Linked DNA regions of Saccharomyces cerevisiae S288C. The gene in region 2 interacts genetically with the main gene of each other region. Each region holds a gene or a part of one and is shown on either strand. Other genes may lie near its edges.

Region 1 (5,158 bases), on a different chromosome or scaffold from region 2:
TGGAAGAAGGTTACCGGTTACGGTAAGAGATTAGCCATTCTGCCACCAGACTATGTCTCGAACTACACTAATGAATACTTGTCCTGGCCAGAACCAGAAGAGGTTTCTGATCCTTTGGAAGCTCAAAGATTGATGGCTATTCATCAAGAAAAATGCAGACAGGAAGGTACTTTCAAGAGATTGGCTCTTCCAGCTTAAACGTGCTTCGTCACTCGTTCAGCCCAGCCTTCCTCTACGACTTGTTTATGATTTCACATTAGCTGTTGTTTCCTACTCGATATATAGACATACATATTTATGTATCAGAGCATGTATACAAGCTTTAAATGAACTCCCTTTATCTTAACACTTTATTTCCTCGCAAAATCAACACAATAAAAGATGCCTGCAAATGCATGAGCGGCAAAGTTTTCTCTAAGTATTTGAATCATCAAACTGTGTGTGTAAGCGTATATATAAACATTTTTCACATTATGAACATACTAAAACTATTGATTTGACTAATCTTCGAAGCTAATCTTGGCAGACATTTCGGTGAGAAATGAAGGTTTCTTGGTAACAGCTGGGTCATCTCCAATAAAATTAGTGGGAAATCCGACATCAAAAGGAACAATACTTTCTAAGTACTTTATTTGTTCTGGTGTTAATTTAATGCTCAAAGCCTCAATGTTCTGTTTGAGATGTTCGATCTTTCTTCCTCCCACTAATGGGAAAACATGTTTCGCTTTAGACCGAACATAAGCTATGGCAATAGCAGTGACAGACTCAGTGCCATGTTCTTCCGCAACTTTTAACAATGCTTCGCTGATTTTAACCTCCATATCCGTCTGTTCCGAAGTACCAAAAAAGGTACGCAAGCCTTCTCCTTTCTTCTTCCGCTCTTCCACTGCCTTTTTACTCTGAAATCTCCCGCCTCCCATAACATCCCATGGAGCAAGAGCCATACCAAAATGCCTAGCCATTGGAATGATATCACGTTCAAAGTCCCTGTTCAATACATTCCATTTACCTTGATAGATACTAAAGGGAGTTTTACCATGAGATGTGGCGTAGTAATTTGCTGCAGAAACAACCCAGGCAGGAGTATCAGACACACCTAGATAGAGTACTTTGCCCTGCTGCACAAGAATGTGCAAACTATCCATAACTTCCTCAATGGAGCTCATATAATCCCACCAGTGAACGTAAAGAATATCAATCCAATCAGTTTGCAACTTACGAAGGGAATCTCTCACACTTACATGCAAACTGCGCTTGTGATTCCCACAGAAATTGGCACTCTTCCCCTTGCCTACATCATACCCCTTATAATCCGTGGTAAATTTAGTGGCAATTACAATCTGGTCACGCAGTTTTCTTGATGCCATCCATTCACCGATCCAAGTCTCTGACTGCTCATACTAATAATTATTTGCAGTATCAATGAAATTTCCGCCTGCTTGGTAAAAAGCATCAAGTAGCTCAAAAGCTTGTTCTTTGTCCATTGATCCCATGAATCCAGACCAGGCGTCACCAATAGACATACCTCCCAGGATTAGTGGAGAAACTCTTATACCAGCTGTTTTAGATAGGACCCTAAGACGTCCTAACTCGGTAGGTGGTTCAGGTGCAGGTCCAAAAGCCTCAGACATTTCGAAGAGCACATTTTGCGGCGGTGGGTTATGAAGCTATTCAATTAATTAACCAGTCCCCAACCGAAGGTGAGAATCATATTGGGTAATACACCTTATTCCTAGTTGTGCCACTATCCTTTTATATGTTTTAAAATCCCGCTCCCTTAAATTTGTACAAGTGCAAGTAATGAAAGTTGTTCGATTTCGGTACGAAGTTTTCTTACCGGTTCCGTGCGAAAACAGCAGGGAAGTACTAGAATAGGCTTTTGAAGCATGCCACCCAGTCTGCACATTTACAGCGAACTTGTGGTGATATGTTTTCCCGTTACAATGATTATTGCGTGGACCCATAATTCACCCTTATTGTCTCTCCATAGTACCCCTTTTCGATATCATTTTCAAACAAACTAGAACTGATAAGATGTCCTGGACTCTTATAATCTATGTGACCACAAAATGGCTCACTAATTCCGAGCCCCAACAGTTGCAAGGCTTCCAATGGTAAACCCTTAAACACTCGCAAATCAGTCCCTAAGTGAAGATTTTCCTCTGGTTTCAAGTAGCTCTTTGTCATAAAAAAATATCCAGCAACTCTGTCTTGTGACGTACGATTTGCACTGGCTGCATGGTAGAGGCTCCCTAAGAATAGAACTGCGTCTCCCTTTGCAACATTAACGTGAAATTCCATCCTCTTGTCAAAGTTCCCACAGGAATCGTGCGGACCCCACAAATGTGAACCGACTATCATTCGCGTAGAGCCATTTTCTTTATTCATATCTGTAAAAGCTACACCTAACCCTACCATGGTTTCGGTTCCATACTGGAAACGTTCACATGCTTGATGGGTCGTATGATGAACAATATCTTCTCGGTGGTAGCCCTGGTCACTTGCACCAGCGCCAACCTTGTAGACTATACCGGAGTTCAGTTGAATATCACTAGTGCATTTATTAATCACCTTTCCCGCCGCAAAGTAGTTTTCTTCATTCAAAAAATGTTTTGAGATATCACAAAACATACGGTCGCATACCACATCCTTTAAGACTGTAGATGAGTGTAAAACCGATCTCGTTGCCACAGTAGTTTCCTTAGGAAACGGTGAGCCTTGCCATGATTCGTATCTATAAAAATGCGGTTCGATTTCTTTCAATATTTCATCACATCTGGAGGTCTCTATAAAATTCTTGACCACGCAAAGTCCGTATACTTCCATTTTTTCAATAATTGCTTTGTAATCGAACTTGTCTTCGACTGTGAATGCCTTTTGCGTTAAGCCAGGCTGGCATACGCCAAGATCTTCCTTTTTTTTCATATTAATGTATTTTTGGCCACCTATATTGTATGGCTCACTAAGGTTGTGTGAATCTGTGTTCATCGTATGGATTGCGTTTTGAATCTGTCCTGCTTGTACTTTGAGTAGGGGAAATCTCTCGTCTTAAGATCTCATGGATGTGCTTTATATACTTTATTAGTTTTACAGACGCGTCACCTGCTATCAACACATGACCTTAATGTTAGACTCTGATTAATTAAATATTCTATTTCTGTTGAGAATAAATTACTATTACTCCGGGGCAGCAGTACCTTCATTTTGAAGGAAAATGAGACAATCTTGCCTCTTTTCCAACGTAAAATTCTTTAGCAGCCCAATAATGCCTCACTTCGCGTTATGTCACTTATTTTTTTTTTCTTTGAGTCATGTATGGACGACTACTAGCCACACCGGTGCTGAAAATCTATAAAAAACTTTGATTCATAACCCAATTTTGACTATCCTCATTAATTTTAGCAATTTCGCCTGTAGTATGTTCATAACTGCAGAATTCTACGTTATGGCAGTACTTCTTTACGTTGTTTTACCAAAAGGTATTATTTTTCGAGAAGCTTTTCAACCTGCCTAAGTTAGTAAACCCTTTTCGCTTTTTTCAACATTCTATGGCTTTTCCCTAGCACTGACATATCTGTAAGTTGATTGCGTGGGACGTCTAGCGCAGGTTTTGAGAAGTTTCCAACAGGCATATCTAGCTTGATATTATTAGGGGTCTATCTGAATCGCTTATGTAAACAAATATTCAACTAGCTTTTCTGTCACTGCAATCGGTAAAATTTTAAACGGCCGTTTCTGCATGTACGCCAACTCACAGTTAAAGCATTCAAAAATTCAAAGGAATTACTAGTAACGCATATTACAAATTCTTTAAACATAAATACTAAGCTATATTGAGCCAAGAACATTCGTTGAATTTTTTTTCCGCCAGTAATGAAAGATATAGTTCGAACTAGGGTAATTGTACTCACGATGGGAGAAATAATAAAAAAATCAATATCTAAAGTCTGACGTACCGTAAAGTTTTCATCACGAACTATGGCGAAGGTTGATGAGACTCTCTAAAATTATTTTGATTTTTGAAGGACGTTTCCCTAATAATTATTAGGGAAAACAGTGCCTTGTCACAGATGAACTGGAATGTACGAGTTAAGGATACTCATATACAACTGCGAATTATGTAATTACATCTATTTTCAGCTTTTGCTATATATTGCATAATTCGGCAGACTTAGTTTATAACAAGAGGCAAAGTAAATAGCCTTTAAAATTTCAATATTGCAGACAACACAATATCGATAAACATAAAATGGAGAAGGCCTTAAAGATATTTTGGCTTTTTTCTCACTGGCTCGATGGGTAACAATGGTCAAAAAAACAGGGCTATTATTTGAGTCAGCGAAGTTTCACAATTGTGTCATATTGGTAGATGCACTGATATTACCGAAGACTTTGTCATTACTTTCTCATGTACGCTGGATTAACGCTATTGAGGACGGTTTTTTATGTAACTTTTTCAGCCGCAGCGTTTTGTAGGCAGATGAAGTGCGCTCATTCGTTTCAATTGTAGTACTTAGTCGCATTTACCATTTTTTTTACCAATTATTGACCTTCCTGTTTCAGACGATCCCAAGGGTCCAGAATGAAACATAAACTATAGTCTTGAACAGAGATTTTCTTCTCAATTAGGACTTTTAGGCTCTCATTGTTGCTATCCGGATGAGCATAGCGTATCTCTATTATTAAATGGCAAAAAAGATACCAACTTGATACAAATCAACAGTAATAATTAGACCTGAATTTACAAAAAAACCCAGCATAAATTGCCGAACAAATACCAATATTTTCCTGCATCTTTGTTCTGTTATGTATTGAATAGTAAAGAAAAGAAAAGAAGGTATGTATAGTCATATGAGTACTTTAAAAGAGGATTAACAGCTTGCACCAGATCCAGATGGGATTCCAGAACATCCAGAATAGGAAGAACCACCGGTAATTGACACCCCAGACCATTGCCAGTTAGTAGCGTTTTTCACCAAAATTTTAACCCTCTTCGCTGTGGAGTTCACGCTCCCGGTGATATCCTTCATTACTAAATTCGAAATGGGAACGCCACCTGTAGCAGTTCCAGTAGTCTTACTATTCAAATAATCGCCTTCGATAACAATACCATAACTTTTTATGCCGCTAATTTTATTACTGATAAAGTTGACATTAG
Region 2 (7,924 bases):
TGGGTCTTACCTGTATGAATACACATACATGATGTTCTATAATTTGGCATTTACATCCCTACCAGTCATCTTCTTAGGTATTCTGGACCAGGACGTGAATGACACAATATCATTAGTGGTCCCTCAGTTATACCGTGTTGGAATTTTAAGGAAAGAATGGAACCAAAGAAAGTTCTTATGGTATATGTTGGACGGATTATATCAGTCTATTATCTGTTTTTTTTTCCCTTACTTGGTTTATCACAAAAATATGATAGTTACGAGCAATGGGTTAGGATTGGATCATCGTTATTTTGTCGGTGTTTATGTGACCACTATTGCTGTAATTTCGTGTAACACATATGTTTTATTACACCAATATAGATGGGATTGGTTTAGTGGATTATTCATTGCACTGTCTTGCCTCGTAGTTTTTGCATGGACGGGAATATGGTCTTCTGCGATAGCTAGTAGAGAATTTTTCAAAGCTGCAGCGCGTATCTATGGAGCACCTTCATTTTGGGCTGTTTTCTTTGTTGCCGTGCTGTTCTGCTTACTGCCCCGTTTCACATATGACAGTTTTCAAAAATTTTTCTACCCAACTGATGTGGAAATAGTAAGAGAGATGTGGCAACATGGCCATTTCGATCATTATCCTCCTGGTTACGATCCAACAGATCCCAACAGACCCAAGGTCACAAAAGCTGGGCAACACGGAGAGAAGATTATAGAAGGCATAGCACTTTCCGACAACTTAGGAGGATCGAACTATTCAAGGGATAGTGTTGTCACAGAGGAGATTCCAATGACTTTCATGCACGGTGAAGATGGAAGTCCTAGCGGATATCAGAAGCAAGAAACCTGGATGACTTCACCCAAGGAAACACAAGATCTTCTTCAATCGCCCCAATTTCAGCAGGCCCAAACGTTCGGAAGAGGCCCATCAACCAACGTCAGGTCATCCTTGGACCGCACAAGAGAACAGATGATCGCCACTAACCAACTAGATAACCGCTACTCTGTGGAAAGAGCGAGAACATCTCTAGATCTACCAGGCGTAACTAACGCAGCCTCCTTAATCGGAACACAACAGAACAATTAATAATGATATCCGAACCATAGCTGATGGAACTCCGCTTTTCACTGTATATATAATATTACATAATATTACTGGATAAGCCTTAGAAGCCTTAGAAGCCTTAGAAGCCTTGGAATTCATGCATACTACAGCGTTAACTCTTTCTTTTAGCAAGTTTTAGTAGCGGACGTGTGGGTTTCTTTGTTCTATAATTAACACTCCCGGTTAACCCGGATCGCTATTATTCAAGGACGCACAATGGTGGGCTAATTTTTTCTTCCGATGGAAAACTGACGCCAGCACTTTCCAGCGCTGGGAACTCTCCACTAACTGGCAAAAAAATTGATTAAGGTCATGATCAAAGGAATTTTTGAAATGTTGTAAAGTAGAGTTAAGAATTAATCAAGCCGTGATACGTATGTTTTTGACTAGGTGAGAGACTATATTTATCAAAAATAGTTTTTTATACTAACAGAAAGTTTATTATATCATAGAAATCCTAGGCCTATTGTTATTATTTGCGTGAAAAAAGGTTCATGCCTAGTTATTCAGGATATTAATCAGGCATAGTCATAGTTTTGTAATACACGTCTTTCACTCCTATTTCCGGTTAACATTCGCTAATATCCATCAAATTATTGACTTTTTTTTCAGTGGATTTGTTGTTAATAAAGGAAACAATCAGATCAGCCATTTAGGGAAGTCTTTTAAGAAAGCTCAGAAGGAGATCTAAGACAAGAAGCAAGGCAGTCTTGATTTATCGCTCAAAACCAATAGCACATGCCGAAGAATAGTCACCACCATCGTTCCAGTTCGGTTAATTCCACAAAGAGTCGTTCTACGGAATCTACGAATAAATGGAAAATTCCGCACTATTATCGCAGATCCGCTAGCGGCAGCACACAAGCTTCGCCGGACAGGAACTCCTCAACAGGCTCATGTAGCACTCCAGTATTACCTACTATGAATGTTATGTCTAGCCCGAAAAAAGTTTTGCTAGAGGATCCCAGAGACAACCATACTAAGGCGAAGAAGAGTAGTAGAAAGAAATCAGGTGAAATGGTCTTCGTCAATTATACTGTACAGGACACGGCTAACGAAAATGATACTGACTTGCAAACCCAGCCGGTTTCTGTGCCAGCACCAAAGGCGAAATTAAAGAAGAAATCCTCCAAAAGGAGAATGCTGAAGATATTTGGATCGTCAAAGAACGAACACATAGAGGACATCGTTGAAGAGCAACCAATGGTGCTTCAAATGGATTCAGAATCTAAACCCCTTTCGGGAACCCCTATCTCAGAAAGCGGAATCGACGCCTCGTCACTAACAACCAAAAGATCTTATAACTCGTTCTTAAAACACAATAGGCTAAACGGTAAAACTCCGTTCTCTGGAAACTTGTCCTTTCCATCATTAAACATGATGGGTAACACTACTGATCTGCCTATTGACAATAACGATTTTTGTTCCGAGAAAGAAGTCGTTCCGAAATCAACTCATGATCCTTCACTAGCAAAACCGCCATCAAGGTTCACTGAAAGCGAAACAAATTCTACTCCCAACTTATCAAGTATACCTCTCATGAACACAAAAAATACAAGATTGAAGTACAATAAAGTGGCGCCTCAGAGTTCAGACCGACAAAAGTCACAGGAAAGTGGGCTATATCATTCTACCGAATCATTCAACTTCAAAGATCAAAACTACAGTAACAATAAATCCTCTTTAAGTCTGAACTCCGATTTAAGTACACCCCACTTTGCAAAGCATTCACCTGATTCACCAAGAACTTCAAGATCTTTCAACTGCGGAGACTCACAAAGTAAAGTTAAATTACCGGAAGAAAATGACGCTTCTATTGCATTTAGTAAGATGTTTACTAGAAAACGAGCCAACACTGGCGGGTCCACGTGTTCGCTAGCCTCACCCACTATTGCACAAACTATTCAGCAATCAAATATAAAAGTTAATAAATTGCCAACTCAGCGAACCACTTCAGTTGGCTCATTATCATCCATGTCAAATCGTTATTCACCAATAAGAGTTGCATCGCCAGGAAGAGCAAGATCCGCAACTCGTGGGTCTTCCCTTTATAGATTATCCAGAGACCTTAATTCTTTACCAAGCGTCACTGATCTACCAGAAATGGATAGTACAACCCCAGTTAACGAAATATTCTTGGATGGCCAACCACAGCATAAAAGTGGCAGTGTCAAAGGAGGGCATAGGAAGAAACAAGAATCTATCTCTGATGCTCAAAGAATTCAACATTCTAATTCGTACATTACAACACCTTCATCTTCTCTGGTGACTCCTCCTTACTACATGACAGGTTACACATTACCAAGTTCTGCATCTGCTTCTTCAACTCCAAATGTGCTTGAAACACACAATATGAACTTTGTTCCAAGTACCAGTACTGTTACAAGTTATCGCCCATCTAGCAATTTTTCCTCATTTGACAAAGAATACAGTAACGAAAACGACGCTAGTGGGGAATTCTCTGCTTTCAATACTCCAATGGAGAATATACCGGCACTAAAAGGTATACCTAGATCCACGTTAGAAGAAAATGAAGAAGAGGATGTCCTAGTACAAGATATTCCGAATACGGCACACTTCCAAAGAAGGGATATTATGGGGATGGATACTCACAGAAAGGATGACAGTTTAGATTTTAACTCTTTGATGCCACACGGTAGTACAACTAGTAGCAGCATCGTAGATTCTGTTATGACGAACTCAATATCCACTACAACAAGCAACGCGACCGGAAACTACTTTCAAGATCAAGATAAGTATACATTGGTAAATACGGGATTGGGATTGAGTGATGCAAACCTCGATCATTTTATTAGATCTCAATGGAAACACGCTTCTCGATCAGAATCCAATAATAATACCGGAAATCGCGTTTCTTACAGTGGCTCAACACCAAACAATGTTGATACAACAAAGACTAATTTGCAAGTGTATACCGAGTTCGATTTTGAAAACCCAGAGTCGTTTTTCCATGAGCAATCGAAGCTACTAGGTGAGATGGGCCACAGCAATAACAACAGCAACAGCGCCATCAACATGAATGAACCCAAGTCTGCGGATACATACATTGGAAATATATCTCCGGATACTTCAGCAACTGTTTCATTAGGCGACCTGATGGGCTCAAACGTTTCAAACAACAGTGAAAGAAATTTTTACGATGGTCATACTTTCGTTCCACAGTATCAGGCGAACTCATCTGTGGAAAACTCAAATAATCAAAATGCAGCACCAATTGCAAATAACGACATTGATAATAATTTACAGTCTTTTTATTTTGATAATAGCAACTAAAAAAGGAATGAAAAAAAAAAAAAAAAGTTCAAAAATAGTAACAGATATCTTTCGAAAAAGTTAAAAACTGGTAAAAAATTTTGAATAGAGTATATAAAAACTAATAAATATGTTTAGTTATCATACACCATAGAATAACTACTAGAGATATTATTTCATTTTCGTTTTCATTTTTTTTATTTTTTTCTTTTCAATAAGGTAACAGAAAGTTATTTATGCATTCTTGTTCTACATGTCTTATGTATACTAATAAGCTACTACAGGTATTTTGGTAGTATGGCTTTTAAATGAGTTATTAATTCTTGATCAGTCCCTGTAGGATTATCAAACTGCCACCTAATCGCTTCGTTATTAATTTTACCCAGCCATGGACCTGGCTTCATTTGAAGTAGTTTTGCCATTTGTTTTCCGTCCACTATTGGTTTTAGTTCATGACAATTATTCAAATTATTGTCAAATATGTAAGAATAAAATTCATTGTAATTTTGGAAAAGTAATTCAATTTTTTTAGTTTCAAGCTTGGGAATCTTTAAAAATGCATCTGATAGAGATGCAAAATGTGCTGTTTCCCATTCGCCATTAAAGTTCCGTAGAAATATACCGATTTCGGATTTTTTTAGCTGGGAACGATCTGCAAACTTAGCAAGTATTTCCTCATATGAACATATTGAATCTACGGTCTTGGCAATAACTGCTGCATCATTTTTACTCAGCTTCAATCCTTCCTTCACAATGCTTTCTGTCACCGAAACCAGGTTGTTAATTTTCTTCTTTGGGTTCCCGATTATTTGTAAATTAGCCATGGGGGACAGGATCGCACTCAATATAAAATTTTGCTGAAATCCTGGCGAACGACCAATTTTTTCCCTTAAGATAGGAAGCTTCTCTAAAAACATTGGATATAATTCAATAAAACTTTTCAAGTGTGAGTTTAGTATGTTATCATTGTATACATGATTAATTTTGTCCATATCTTGACAATTCTCTTCGTTGAATTTTACGACGGAGCTATCATTATGCCAAAAAAAGATAACATTTTCAAGATGAGCCCTTTGAATCAGCTGCAAAGCCAATAAAGGGGTTGGTCCTACTAATATTTTCTCCATCTCCACACCAACTCGCTCTCTAGAAATTTTTGAATTGAATGCAACATTAATCTGAGGATCGCCCATTTCAGCCATCACTTCCGGATCTATGGTAAAGTTGAATCTAGAAGCAAAACGGATCAACCTCAAAACCCTCAAGGGATCATCCAAAAATGTTTGTTTTGCAGGAAGCGGAGTACGGAGAACGCCATCTTTTAGATCTTGCAGACCTCTCTTGGTGAAATCTTCCACTTCACCTTTATGAATGTTATAGAAAAGAGCGTTCAATGTAGCATCCCTTCTTAAAGCGTCTTCCTCGGGTGTGCCAAAGCACACTTTAGGTATCCTGGAAAGTTCAGTATACTTTTCAGATCTTAAATTGACAAAATCCACTTCAACGCCAAAGAGCTTAGTAGTGGCAGTTTCCAGATGCTTGGATTTCTCGGGATTCTTGTCAATCTTGTGGATATTATGAGGCTTGGCTCCATATTTGGCGTAATGTTGTTGCAAATACTCGTTCAAACCAGTAGCAAATTGCTCACCTGACATCACATTGATGGCAATATCCAAGTCGTGAGAACCTTGTCCCAGAAGCTTGTCACGCACCCATCCGCCCGTGATCCGAAGAGTCAATGGCTCAGGCTTATTGTGGTACTTTTGATTGTACAAGTCTGTATAATCGTTCAGCAAGTTACAGATGTTCTGTTCCACTTTGGTTAAGGTGATTTTGGGTGCATTTAGAACAAAATTAGAATTCGTCATCGTTTTCTGAGCAGCACTATTCATCAGTAGAGATATAGTAGACCGTAGCATACACAAAAAAAGCCCTTATAACCCACGGATACGAATTAATCTCGAGGGAAGCGTTGCGATGTATTATGTAGTTTCCTTTAGTACATTGTTAATATGGTAGATTTTTGCGATTCATTTTTCAACTTTTCAACCCTAACGAATGTTTTTTAGGGCTGAGTAACGACAAGAACACAACCCTAAAAATCAGATGACCTAAGGGTTTGGTGAATCGAGAAAGTATGCCCTATTTCCCCCGCCCATACACCCCATAAGCCTTAACCGCAGCCCTCCTCTCCCCTAAACGTTTCTTTTTCTTTTTCCATTTTTTTTTTTTTTTTAGTTTTACTTTCTTTTTATTCGGAAAAATCTTTTCTATATTTTTCAAGGGTAACCTCATCGCCATGCAATTAATCACATAGACTCCTTAAGTAACAATGGCAAGGCGATAATTTTAAGAGAATTGCAGACGCTGTACATAGATCGTTATCAGCAAAACATATATTCGCATCGAAGGCGTTGCTTGTCCCTGAAGTAGCTACTTGCGGTTTTCATCAAGCGGCCAATTTAATCATTCTATCAGCATTATTTTAAAATAGGGGGACTTAACCTTTCTATTAGTACCACTTATTTTATAGATCTGCTGGAGAAAAATAAACAGATAAAAAAAAGGGAAAAAAAGAATAAGACTGTCTTGGTGAGGATATTCAGTTGCGTGAAATCATGACGAAACTAATCGCTCCTTCAGAAATCGTGGGCGGAGTGCCCGTCTTCAAACCCACATACGAGCAATTCGAAGATTTCTATGCATACTGCAAGGCCATAAACAAATATGGCATGAAAAGTGGTGTTGTGAAAGTAATCCCACCTAAAGAATGGAAAGACAAATTAGATCTGCCTTATTCTGCGGAAACGCTCCAAAAGATCAAGATTAAATCACCTATTCAGCAGCATATTTCTGGTAATAAAGGTCTTTTTATGGTGCAGAACGTGGAGAAAAACAAGACCTATAACATTATACAGTGGAAAGATCTTTCTAAGGACTATGTGCCTCCGGAGGATCCTAAAGCAAGACGTAATTCTAGGAAAGGCTCCGTTTCCAAATCCACGAAGTTGAAACTGAAAAATTTTGAATCGTCTTTTAATATTGATGATTTTGAACAGTTCAGGACGGAGTATACAATAGATTTATCTGACTTCCAAAATACGGAGAGATTAAAGTTCTTGGAAGAGTATTATTGGAAAACGCTAAATTTTACTACGCCTATGTACGGCGCAGATACACCAGGATCAATCTTTCCTGAAGGGCTGAACGTTTGGAATGTTGCCAAACTACCGAACATCTTGGACCATATGGAAACAAAGGTTCCTGGGGTGAATGACTCCTATCTATACGCTGGTCTATGGAAGGCTTCTTTTTCTTGGCACTTGGAAGATCAGGACCTGTATTCCATAAATTATATTCATTTCGGTGCCCCAAAACAGTGGTATTCGATACCGCAAGAGGATAGGTTCAAATTCTACAAATTCATGCAGGAGCAATTTCCCGAAGAAGCCAAAAATTGTCCTGAATTTTTAAGACATAAAATGTTTTTGGCTTCGCCCAAACTGCTGCAGGAAAATGGCATACGATGCAATGAAATTGTCCACCATGAAG
Region 3 (5,256 bases), on a different chromosome or scaffold from region 2:
CGAGCAGCTTCATGTATAACAGATTGTAACTTGTTTCTTGTTATGATCGAATTTTGAGATTCTCCTCTCGATAAAATATACCTAACCATTTTTCTAGCTACAGGATTCTCTTTAACGATCTTGGCCACGGCTAAATCTTCTGTTAAATCCACATCGCTGTCATTATCTATAGAACTCATGCTAATGAGAAGCTTATGTTTATCGAACAACCTTCCCTTGTAGCATACTGATATAGGACCCCTTCAATCGAAGTTGATAATAAGCGCATTACTCTTCATTGAAATTTTTCTTCACGTATATCGCGCTGTTAAAGGAGAGGGCCGCATGCATGTAATACTTGCTATTCTTGAGTCAGAAGCCCACACTAAGTGACCTGTGAAATCAAGTTGCTGCTTCAAGATATCGTCCTGTACTGGAAAAAAATACTAGTAGGAATTGCGTGAAGTACTATATAAACTTTTCTTAGATGTAGCTTATTTAACGACACCTGAGGGGGGCATTTAGTATTCTAACTCACCCGCAACGTGAGGCCAAAACGATTCTGCAAATCGCTTCTGCTCCATCGACTCACATCCACCTCTAATAGCCAAGTAACATCTTCTGTCTAATGGAATGTTCCATTCTCCACAATTTCCGCCAACCATTATTCCTCCTGCTTCCTCAAGAATACACCAACCGGCACAAACATCCCAAGCCCAGCAGCCACCTTCCCAATAAGCATCAAGCATGCCGCTCGCTACGTAGCATATGTTCATGGCAGCACTTCCTGCACTTCTGAACCCGTGAACAAAGGCGCCGGACTCACTTAGTAAGTTTTTATAAGTATTCATTTTCTTATCAAAGTTTCCTTGGGAACCTTCAGTTCTTTCCGAACCTCCTTCTAAAGCAATTAAGGATTTTTGCAAAATCAATGGCCTTTTTGAAACCTTTATCTCCTGATCATTTAAGAAAGCTCCATTGCCTTTGGAAGCATGGAATAGTTGGTTTAAGTGAGGATTGAAAACCACACCAACAACCGGCTTCCCCATTTCAGCTAAACCTAGAGATGTACAACTATAGGGGTAACCGTGAATAAAATTAGTAGTACCATCGATGGGATCAACAATAAATGTAGGGCCGTTAGTTATTTTCGTGACACCTTTTACATAAGTTTCTTCTCCGATAAATTTGAAACTGGGATACTTGGCCGTTAAATTTTCCTTGATTATAGATTCAATTTGTTTGTCTAAAGCAGTTACCAAATCTACGCCATTTGCTTTATCATCATATGAACAAAAGTTTGTTCCTGCGTGCGATTTTACGAGAGGTCCTATTTTACTCCTAAGTAATTCAATAAATGTGTTCTCCACTTCCTCTAGTACTTGCCTCGTTAATACCATCGCTTCAATCTAAGTTTACTTTACAAGGGCTTGTGGAGCTTCAACTTCACTTATTCTCTATATTGTTTTCACGATTTTTTCTCCCCACGATTTCATATGTAATGAAGCAGGGTGCTTCACGGCGTTATCACTCGGAACACTGACGTTCTTTATTAAGAATTACCGTTTTAAGGGAAATAATAAGAGGTCACTTAATATGACTGTGAGAATCCATTTTTGTAGTTTTTTAGTTACTGGCTTTGGAATGTCAATATAACTGTGATTGACTTCCCTTTTTTTCGCTTTATGGGTCTATGATGTGCGCAAGTTGTTACCTTTCCGTAGAGAGTTCGGAGTTGATGCATTGTAAAGTTTCGTTTAATTCATAACAGAAATTCGTAATTATTCAGTAAGACATAAAACTTAAGGAACATATCACCATGTTGAGAGCGTTCCGCTGTTCTATACATACTTCGAGGGTATTGTTACATGATGCTGGAGTGAAATTAACTTTCTTCTCAAAGCCTAATTGTGGGTTATGCGATCAAGCAAAGGAAGTGATAGATGATGTATTTGAAAGAAAGGAATTTCATAATAAAGCAGTTTCACTAGAGATAGTCAACATAACTGACCGAAGAAACGCAAAATGGTGGAAGGAATATTGCTTCGACATACCAGTACTTCATATTGAGAAAGTTGGTGATCCTAAGTCGTGCACCAAGATCCTGCACTTTCTTGAAGAAGACGATATCAGTGATAAAATAAGGAGAATGCAATCTAGATGACCTCTTTTGTTTTTACTAGAGTTACAACACTGTAAATATTTATAAGCTATGAATAAGTATATACCTCAAAAAACTATATCTACGCTAATTTTACTATGCATACTTCTTACGCAGGGAACAAAATGAAATGTATTCGCACAAAACGATTTCAAATTTTCCATTATCCTCTATTTCCTTCTCCTTTTCTTGCTTATTTTTAATGACTGGTCTTCGTCTTCTACTAGTAGTAATTTTTTTCTTGAAGAAATTGGAGGTTTCATGCAATTTGAACCCTTCTTGATTTTTCCTCTCACTGGTTTAATTTGGATTGGGGAAGGGTTGGTTAACTCTAGGTCGTCATTTGATGATGAAGAAAGATCGAACTCATCGTTAAATTTGGATGTTTCTTTGGATGAATTAATTCTTGACTTACTTATATGATCCACCTTAGGACACTTTTTCATAGGAGAGTGAATGGCAGCAGAGTTATTAGGAAATAAGTTGGACGTCGTAGCATTTTTTTTGGGTGAATCTGATGGTTTAGTAAAATTTTGTGTACCTTTTTTACTAGGCTCGTTCCGTTTATGGTTTTTTATCTCTTCTAGCTCTTTAATCTTCTGTTCTAATTCCCTCTTTTGCGATTGCACCTTTTGCTGTAAATTTTTGGTGACTTCTTCCAAACTTTCGAGGTTATCTTGAAGTTCTAACTTTTCAGCTGTTATATCTTGCTTCTCCGATTTCAGAACTATCACTTGCTGTTTTAGGGTTTTTACATCGCTTAGTGATTCTTCAACACCAGTTTCCTTTTTTTCTAAACAATTTTTTAAGTGCCTATTCTGCTCTTCAAGCTCCAATTCATGAGCCTTCAGTTGTACTACTTCGACGTTTAGCTTTTGTAGCTGCTCATTGTTCTTTTGGAAAGCCTCCAGTTTGGTTGTATGATCCTTCTGTTCATTTTCTTTGATTTCTACTAGCTGTTGAATTCTTTGCTTCAGAGTGTCGTTTTCGGAAACTAAAGCCTTCACAATTTCATTCTGAGAAGATATTTTATTTTCGTAATTTGATTTTGTTGTGATGTTCAAATTGTTGAGTTTTTCTAGTTGATCCTGGACTTTTTTCAGTTCATTAGAAAGGTTTTCATTTTTTTCAGTTAAACTTTGTTCTTTGCCAGAAATTTGTGAAATTTCGATATTCTTCGCCTCCAACTTTTTGACCAAATCTTCATATTGTGCTTCTTTAGTACCAAGAGAGCTAATAATCTGATTTTTTTGTGAAGACAAAGTTGACCTTTCACTCTCCAAATGTTTTATCCTTTCTTCATACTCATTCGACTGAACTATTTCTGCCTTATATGCCTTCACCAAGTTTTCCAAACTCGCGTAATTTTTGGCTGTTTGAGACGCATCATCAAGAAGCTCTTGCCTTGTGTTATTCATTTCACTTACCAAAGCAGTTTGAATATTCCCTGATGACGTTAATAGTTCTTCTTGTACTCCCATTATAAGTCCTTTTTGCGTTACACTCAGCTCATTTATTGTTTTTGCCATTTCATCCTTACTGGATGACATTTTTTGTTCAAGATTTTCTTTGATATCTTCATATTGCTGCTTTAGCATGGTCTCTGTATTACTACTCAACTCTACAGTGGTGTTCCTCAAGCCTACGTTAAGGGTATCTTTTGCCACATCGAAGTGCTTTTGTAATTTTTTTTCAAACAAATCATGAACTCTTTCTTCGAATTTGTTAAATTGCAGTAAATGGTGTGCTTTATCTTCTGAAAAGAAATTCTCAATTGATTTAATCATTTCTTCTCTATTTTTTCCCATTTCCTGTATTAAGGAACTGTTTTTGATTTTTTCTTCGCTCAACTGACCTGAACAATCATCTAGTTCTCTTTTCAGGTATTCAATCTCTTTACCTTTTTTCATTAATTCTGCATCCGCCTCCTTTTTGTTCTTCCCTAAATCATTTATTGTTTTGTTCAAGTTTTCAATACTTGTCTTAAATCCGCTTATCCTTCTCTGATATAGTTGGTGGTTTTGTCTTAAATCTTTCAATTTAGTTTCTTGATTATTCTTATGGCTCGTCAACGTTGCAATCCTTTCTTGAAGAGTTTCTAAACAAGATTTATATTTTCCGACTTTTTCATTGATCTTATCAGAATTGGAAGCATACGACTGTAGTCGAACTTTCAACTTTGCATTATCCTGTTGCTGCTTTTGTAGCTCTTGCTTTAAATTTGAACATATTCTTTGAGTGTTTGTGAAGGCTTCTAACAGGACATCATTTGAAGATGTACTAGAATTATTGATGGACGTGTGCAAAGGAGCCTTTCCATTTGTCATAGTATATTCATGCATTTTACTATCCTTGAGAGTTGTCTCAGAATCGTTAGGATCCCCATGACTTTCTTTCGTTTCTTTTGCTACTCCTTCACTCACTTCTCTTACTTCTGTAATTTCAAAATCTTCATCAGTATCATTTTCAATTGCGGCAACATCATTTTTTAAAATTCTGTTGTATTGGTCTGTTGATGTTGTTTTTTTTGGTGAACCTATTTCCATATCATCAGAATAACCATGGTTTCTCTGACTAAGGCTCATACTTGTAATCAGTTCTTGTTCGGTAGAAGTTTTGTGGGGTTTTTTGAAGGTATCATCTCCCTCTATAGAAGAACCCACGTCTAAACAGTTGGATGAATTCTCGACAACAGTATTAGCGGAAGAATCTGAATCTACATCTCTGACTCTCAGCTTAGCGAAGATGTTTGGTCGAGGCTTGAATCCCATTGAACTATCTCTAAAAAAGTTTGACATTCTCTAAAAATTTAGCCGCCGAGGGTATTTTACTTCCGAATCTCAAAGAAAAAAATATGCTTACTGTTAATCCTAAAAGAGGTGACAATATTCAGCTAAAACTTTCAGAGACTTGCAGTTCTCTTCAAGGCGGTCAACTTTAACAAAGAGGTAGCAGATTGTTTTCTTTATTTGTTCGCTATTTACAAGTGAAGAAGCAGCTCTTCATAAAGGGACAACACGGCTTATAGCATTTTTTACGAAAAGTTTGACCGTTTAGAACAAATATTTAAAAACTAGTACTCGATTTCTGGCGCAGCAAAAATATAGCATTATGTC

The links.
Region 1: mutations in CCA1 (region 2) and AAD10 together harm fitness more than expected from each alone (negative genetic interaction), as found in Saccharomyces cerevisiae (one large-scale study listed by BioGRID).
Region 3: mutations in CCA1 (region 2) and INM2 together harm fitness more than expected from each alone (negative genetic interaction), as found in Saccharomyces cerevisiae (one large-scale study listed by BioGRID).

Annotation. Positions count from the first base shown.
Region 1 is NC_001142.9:723,614-728,771, reverse strand, and holds AAD10 (putative aryl-alcohol dehydrogenase), read right to left. Parts: upstream 1,368-5,158; coding exon 501-1,367; downstream 1-500. Other genes in the region: THI11 (4-amino-5-hydroxymethyl-2-methylpyrimidine phosphate synthase), read left to right, coding at 1-198; YJR154W (uncharacterized protein), read right to left, coding at 1,948-2,988; PGU1 (endo-polygalacturonase), read right to left, coding at 4,872-5,158.
Region 2 is NC_001137.3:516,379-524,302, forward strand, and holds CCA1 (tRNA adenylyltransferase), read right to left. Parts: upstream 6,292-7,924; coding exon 4,651-6,291; downstream 1-4,650. Other genes in the region: aminophospholipid-translocating P4-type ATPase DNF1, read left to right, coding at 1-1,081; BCK2 (Bck2p), read left to right, coding at 1,838-4,393; RPH1 (Rph1p), read left to right, coding at 6,991-7,924. UniProt on the Saccharomyces cerevisiae protein: Nucleotidyltransferase that catalyzes the addition and repair of the essential 3'-terminal CCA sequence in tRNAs, which is necessary for the attachment of amino acids to the 3' terminus of tRNA molecules, using CTP and ATP as substrates. tRNA 3'-terminal CCA addition is required both for tRNA processing and repair.
Region 3 is NC_001136.10:1,032,118-1,037,373, reverse strand, and holds INM2 (inositol monophosphate 1-phosphatase INM2), read right to left. Parts: upstream 1,380-5,256; coding exon 501-1,379; downstream 1-500. Other genes in the region: Smc5-Smc6 complex subunit NSE3, read right to left, coding at 1-179; MGP12 (Mgp12p), read left to right, coding at 1,799-2,143; ZIP1 (Zip1p), read right to left, coding at 2,311-4,938. UniProt on the Saccharomyces cerevisiae protein: Responsible for the provision of inositol required for synthesis of phosphatidylinositol and polyphosphoinositides and involved in the inositol cycle of calcium signaling.